Linked DNA regions of Sus scrofa. The protein of the gene in region 1 interacts with the protein of each later gene in a biochemical or structural test. Links are inferred from orthologs where the notes say so. Each region holds a gene or a part of one and is shown in the gene's direction. Other genes may lie near its edges.

Region 1 (3,570 bases):
TACTAGTTGGGTTTGTTAACCACTGAGCCATGACAGGAACTCCTTTTTTTTTTTTCCCCCTTAAACATGCCTTTCTTTCTTTTTTTTTTTTTTCTTTTTTTTTGTCTTTTGAGGGCCGCTCCTGCGGCATATGGAGGTTCCCAGGCTAGAGGGCGAATCGGCGCTGTAGCCACGGGCCTACGCCAGAGCCACAGCAACGTGGCATCCGAGCCGCGTCTGCGACCTATACCACAGCTCACGGCAATGCTGGATCCTTAACCCACTGAGCGAGGCCAGGGACGAACCCACAACCTCATGGTTCCTCGTCAGATTCGTTAACCACTGAGGCACGATGGGAACTCCACCTTTCTTTTTTTTAAAGTGGCAGGTATCATGTCTTGTTCTGTTAGGGCATCTTCCAAAGGCTAGGGCTCTTGGTGAATGAGGAATCTCATTCTGTACTCTTATTTGAAATCCAAGTCCAGGAGAAAAACAGTTAGTGGTGTAAACTAGACCTCTCCACAGAAAATACCTATCCTGTGTTAAGAAAGATAACATAGTATAGAATGAGAGATTACTAATCACTTTATATGTAGATTCTTCTAATTAAAGTCTGTTAATAAAAAGCAGCAGCTCTTTAAGATATTTATAAAGTATATAGTTTTAGAAACAGTTCTACCATTTTCCAGAATAGATACAATTTGCTGTTAAGTCCTGCAAATGCTTCTGGATATGATTATTGCATTTGTCTGTGGCAGGTGGATATGTTGAGTGAAATTAACATTGCACCCCGGATTCTCACCAATTTCACTGGAGTGATGCCACCTCAGTTCAAAAAGGATTTGGATTCCTATCTTAAAACTCGATCACCCGTCACTTTTCTGTCTGATCTGCGTAGCAACCTACAGGTTAATTGGTTTGTCTTAAACTCTCCATCTTTCATGTATGCACAGTCTTGTGCCCAGACTCTTTGAAGTTAGTCTTTTCAACTTCATTTAAAGGTTTTAAAGCACATTGTCTCTTTTACTGGCTGGTAAGAAAAACTGGATTATACATTTTACTAGTTGATTTTGCCAGTGATGCAAAACTATAGCCTTGGAAGAGGCAGCCAGGGAATGGACTGATTTTAAGAATTGATTGCTGATATTCATTCCCATAACTCCAAGACTTAATAAATAAACAGACTCTGGTTGTTTTCTGTATAGAAAATGACTTGAGGTTGTATCATCTTTCCAGTCTTTCCATACCGAGAAAATACATTTTTTTTCTCCTCTCTGAATCCTTTTTTATAATTGAGATAGTGCATAATTTGACTCTATAAACTTTTTTGCTGATAACTGTTAAAACTCTGGCTTTTCAAGGGAAATCATGTTTCTGTTTTTGATAAAACCACATTTTGGGCAGCTGTGTATTTGTTCAGTAACTTCACAGATTCAAGCAAATATCTAAAATTTAAGCCACAAATATTGGGAGTTCAGCTTTTCTACAAAAGGCATAAAAAAGGGTTTTTAGAATTGGTGCCTGAATTAATCCTCTGTGAGAGTAAGTCAGCTTTCTGTTTTGTTCATTTAGGTATCCAATGAGCCTGGCAATCGCTACAACCTCCAGCTCATTAATGCACTGGTGCTCTATGTAGGGACTCAGGCCATTGCACACATCCACAACAAGGGTAGCACGCCTTCAATGAGCACGATCACCCACTCGGCTCACATGGACATCTTCCAGAACCTGGCTGTGGACTTGGACACTGAAGGTAGGTGAAGCTAGCCAGTCCTGAGTCATGTTCTCTGCCCTTGTCACAATCTGGTCCTAAAAATACTTTAAGCCACAATAGACAATGTTCCGTCAATATGGTTATGGGACTGGCTAGCCATTTTATCTTTTTTATTGTTGTTCTTTTTAGGGCCTCATCTGCAGCATATGGAGGTTCCCAGGCTAGAGGTCTTATCGAAGCTGTAGGTCGAATTGGACCTATACCACAGCTACGGCAACACCAAGATCCTTAACCCAATGAACAAGGCCAGGGGTCGAACCTGCATCCTCAAAATGGATCCTGGTCAGATTCATTTCCACTGAGCCACAATGCGAACTCCATCATTGTATCTTTAATTGGATAGTATCTGCTCAATACAGAAAACACAGGAAACATAAAGGAAAGAATACTTAGCACCTCAGTTAATATTTCAGTGTGTATGTGAAAATAAACATGTTCTGGGAGTTCCCGTTGTGGCTCAGTGGTTAACGAATCTGACTAGGAACCATGAGGTTGTGGGTTTGATCCCTGGCCTCGCTCAGTGGTTTAAGGATCTGATGTTGCGTGAGCTGTGGTATAGATTGCAGACACGGCTCAGATCTCCCACTGCTGTGGCTCTGGCGTAGGCTGGCAGCTACAGCTCTGATTTGACCCCTAGCCTGGGAACCTCCGTATGCTGAGGGAGTAGCCCTAGAAAAAGCAAAAAGACAAAAAACAAACATGTTCTTTTAAAATAGGCTGATGTTACTTGTTTTGTTAGCCTATTATTCCAACATTTATTGGTGCCTCTTTGCCAAGCAGTATGTTAACTATTAGGTGTAAAAAGATTAATGAATAGGACTTCTTTACCTGCTCTACAAAAAATTCACAGTATAATTCCTATTGTAGGTTGCATCATGCCTGGTTGAACTACATTTTATTTATTTTTTTCCTTTTTAGGGCTGCACCCATGGCATATGGAGGTCGCCAAGCTAGGGGTTGAATCGGTGCTGCAGCCACTGGCCTACACCATGACCACAGCAATGCTAGATCTGAGCTGCATCTGCGACCTACACCACAACTCATGGCAATGCCAGATCCTTAACCCACTGAGTGAGGCGAGGGATTTAAACTGTGTCCTCATGGTTCCTAGTCAGATTCGTTTCCACTGTGCCACAATGGGAACTCCAAATTGAACTACATCTTTTGGTGTTCTGGATTCATTGTTGTATTTAAGAGACCCTAGTAGATGATGACCAACTGAGCTATACAATCCTGCCCCCCCCCTTTTTTTTTTGGCTGCTGTGTGGCATGTGGAGTTCCTAGGCCAGAGATCAGATCTGAGCTGCAGTTTTGGCAATGCCAGATCCTTAACACATTGCACTAAGCTGGGGATCAAACCTGCATCTCAGCACTGCAGAGATGGCCACCCATCAGAACTCTAATCCTGCTTATTTTATTTTTTTTTGCTTTTTAGGGCTGCACCCGTCGAATATGGAGGTTCCCAGGCTAGGGTCAAATCAGAGCTACAACTGCCAGCCTACGCCACAACCACAGCAACACAGATTCTGAGTGAGCTGTGTCTTGGACCTACAGCAAAGCTCACACAGCAACGCGGGATCTTTAACCCACTGAGTGAGGTCAGGGATGAACCTTGTATTCAGTCAGTATTCTCAGGGATACTAGTTGGATTCTTCTGCTGCGCCACAACGGGAACTCCTAATCCTGCTTATTTAAACTAAACACATGTATTTTACAAGGATGCCTACTTTTAACTTTGCTATAGACTCTTGAGAAGCTAGTTTTTAAGCTAATCACTTGTCTATAGGAGGAGGGGTTTTGAGACAGCTTAAAGTCAA
Region 2 (3,826 bases), on another chromosome or scaffold:
ATGCAGTGTTTTTCAGGTTGAATATCAATACTAATGACATAGAAGCGTAATGGAAAAGGTTTTATAATTCTTATACCCAAAACAGGTGTGTGATAAAGCTATTCTTAAACAGGGTGGATAGAAAAGGATTCCTAATGTATTTCTGAAATATTTCATCATGTTCGGCCTGTTTTCTTGTCCTTTTACCCATTTATATCCCAGCCCTTCCCCCCCCCCCATTTTAAATGGCTGCCCCCACAGCATATTCAAGTTCCTGGGCCAGGGGTTGAATCTGAGCCACAGCTGCAACCTATGCCATTGCTGTGGCAGTGCCGGATCCTTTAACGCACTGCTCCCGGCCAGGGATTGAACCCGCCCCTCCGCAGCCATCCAAGCCTCTGCGGTCAGATTCTTAAATCCAGCACACCACAGTAGGAACTCCATCCCAGGTCCTTCTTTCCCTTGTCAGGCCACCAAACCTGGGCTGCTCCATTATCCTAGTACATCACTACCACCTTACCGTTCCTGACTCGAGAATTCTTTTATTTGCTGATAAGTGAACAGTTCATTCATTCAACAGATGTTTCTTGAGGGGCTCTTATGTTCCAAGTAGTGCTGCAGGCTCTTAGGATAACATCAGTGTACAAAGCAGCAAAATTCCCCACCAGTACGAAATTAATTACTGGCTATGGAAAGTTGGTGGCTGGGATATAACCAATGCACTTTTAATTATGCTGCTAGGTATTGTATCATGTTGATGTTGAAGAACCGTGCACGTTTATAATGTGTTTTTTTTTTTTTTTCTCCCAATTACCGTAGATTTTTTTGTGCTTCTTCTTTATTCTAGATATTAACCACAGTACTTCAGGATCCCATTATGAAAATTTGCAGCGGGGACCTGTGTCTTCTACAAGTGACTCTAGCACAAACTGTAAGAATGCTGTTGTAAACGACTCCCCTGAAAAAGAAGCATGGCCCTCAGTCCCTGGCAGTGATCCAGAGTTGGCTTCAGAATGTATGGATGCTGATTCTGCTTCCAGTTCTGAATCAGAGCGAAACATCACTATCATGGCTTCAGGGAGCACAGGTGGCGAAAAAGATGGCCTTCGGAATAGCACTGGACTTGGATCCCAAAACAAGTTTGTGGTTGGTAGCAGCAGCAATAATGTAGGCCATGGAAGTAGTACTGGGCCATGGGGTTTTTCCCATGGAGCCATAATAAGCACATGTCAGGTCTCTGTGGATGCTCCTGAAAGCAAATCAGAAAGTAGCAACAATAGAATGAATGCTTGGGGCACTGTAAGTTCTTCATCAAATGGAGGGTTAAATCCAAGCACTTTGAATTCAGCTAGCAACCATGGTGCCTGGCCAGTATTAGAGAACAATGGACTTGCCCTAAAAGGGCCTGTAGGGAGTGGTAGTTCTGGCATCAATATTCAGTGCAGTACCTTAGGCCAGATGCCTAACAATCAGAGTATTAACTCTAAAGTGGGTGGTTCTTCTACCCATGGTACCTGGGGAAGCCTTCAGGAAACTTGTGAATCTGAAGTAAGTGGTACACAGAAGGTTTCATTCAGTGGTCAACCTCAAAATATTACCACTGAAATGACTGGACCAAATAACACTACTAACTTTATGACCTCTAGTTTACCAAACTCCGGTTCAGTACAAAATAATGAACTGCCTAGTAATACAGGGGCCTGGCGTGTGAGCACAATGAATCATCCTCAGATACAGGCTCCATCGGTTATGAATGGCACTTCCCTTTCTCACCTTAGCAATGGAGAGTCAAAAAGTGGAGGCTCTTACGGTACTACATGGGGTGCCTATGGTTCTAATTACTCTGGAGACAAATGTTCAAGCCCTAATGGCCAAGCTAATGGTGACACTGTGAATGCAACTCTAATGCAGCCTGGCATAAATGGGCCTATGGGCACTAACTTTCAAGTTAACACAAATAAAGGAGGAGGTGTGTGGGAGTCTGGGACAGCGAATTCCCAGAGTGCATCATGGGGAAATGGAAATGGTGCAAATTCTGGCGGAAGTCGAAGAGGATGGGGAGCTCCTGCACAAAACACTGGCACTAACATACCCAGCGTGGAATGGAACAAACTGCCTAGCAATCAGCATTCCAATGACAGTGCAAATGGCAATGGTAAGAAGTTTACAAATGGATGGAAATCTACTGAGGAAGAGGATCAGGGTTCTGCCACATCTCAGACAAATGAGCAAAACAGTGTGTGGGCCAAAACAGGAGGTACAGTGGAGAGTGAAGGTAGTACAGAAAGCACTGGACGCCTCGAGGAAAAAGGAACTGGGGAAAATCAGAGTAGAGATAGAAGAAAAATTGATCAGCACACATTACTCCAAAGCATTGTAAACAGAACTGACTTAGATCCACGTGTCCTCTCCAACTCTGGTTGGGGACAGACTCCTATTAAGCAGAATACTGCCTGGGATACGGAAACATCACCTAGAGGGGAAAGAAAGACTGACAATGGGACAGAGGCCTGGGGAAGCTCTGCAACACAGACTTTTAACTCAGGGGCATGTATAGAGAAGACTAGCCCTAATAGTAATGATACCTCATCTGTATCGGGGTGGGGAGATCCCAAACCTGCTCTGAGGTGGGGAGATTCCAAAGGCTCAAACTGCCAGGGGGGATGGGAAGATGATTCTGCTGCTACAGGAATGGTCAAGAGCAATCAGTGGGGGAATTGCAAAGAAGAGAAGTCCGCATGGAATGATTCGCAAAAGAACAAACAGGGATGGGGTGATGGACAAAAATCAAACCAAGGGTGGTCCGTTTCTGCCGGTGATAACTGGGGAGAAACTTCAAGGAGCAACCATTGGGGTGAGGCTAATAAGAAATCTAGCTCAGGAGGTAGTGACAGTGACAGGTCCGTTTCTGGTTGGAATGAACTTGGTAAAACTAGCTCTTTTACTTGGGGAAATAACATAAATCCAAATAATTCATCAGGATGGGATGAATCTTCTAAATCGAATCCTTCCCAGGGATGGGGGGATCCTCCAAAGTCTAATCAGTCTCTAGGTTGGGGAGATTCGTCAAAGCCAGTCAGTTCTCCGGACTGGAACAAGCAACAAGACATTGTCGGATCATGGGGAATCCTGCCAGCCACAGGCAAACCTCCAGGTACAGGCTGGTTGGGAGGACCTATACCAGCCCCAGCTAAAGAAGAAGAACCCACAGGCTGGGAGGAGCCATCCCCAGAATCCATACGTCGCAAAATGGAGATCGATGATGGAACTTCAGCTTGGGGAGATCCAAGCAAATACAACTACAAAAATGTGAACATGTGGAACAAAAATGTCCCAAATGGCAGTAGCCGTTCAGACCAGCAAGCACAGGTACATCAGTTGCTACCATCTGCAAGTGCCATCTCAAACAAAGAGGCAAGCAATGGCTCCGGTAAGTTTTTATCTTCTGGAATCTGTGTTACCCAGTACTTAAACAGTACTGTGAACCTTGTTTCAATGAACTCTTGTGATAAAATTGGTTTCATGAAGTGTTGGGATGGCCACACAAAGCTTTTTTTTTGAACTCTAATCCAGAAGTTTAGAGGGAAGAAAGTTATGGGGAAGGTCTTTTGGTGGCATTGTTTGTGAATCCCTCATACTCCACTCTTCATTAGGTAACCTGCTACCAAAGGCAGAATTGGAAATGAGATGGTGGGAATGCTGTACACTTTTCTCATTTCTTCTGAATTAAGCCATTACATTTTGGCTTTATTATTTGACTAAAATATTCCCAGGAATAAAGCAATGATCTAAAAACTAGGTACTGTATTTGGTCTTAGAAGGGGTTTATTTGAGTAGGCATGAAGTC

Evidence for each region.
Region 2: the proteins of CNOT1 (region 1) and TNRC6A form a complex in vitro, tested with the Homo sapiens proteins (2 studies listed by BioGRID). The link is inferred for Sus scrofa from reciprocal best matches to the Homo sapiens genes CNOT1 and TNRC6A.

What each region holds. Positions count from the first base shown.
Region 1 is NC_010448.4:20,274,788-20,278,357, reverse strand, and holds part of CNOT1 (CCR4-NOT transcription complex subunit 1), read left to right. Parts: intron 1-737; coding exon 738-887; intron 888-1,551; coding exon 1,552-1,732; intron 1,733-3,570.
Region 2 is NW_018084874.1:617,511-621,336, reverse strand, and holds part of TNRC6A (trinucleotide repeat-containing gene 6A protein), read left to right. Parts: intron 1-826; coding exon 827-3,409; intron 3,410-3,826.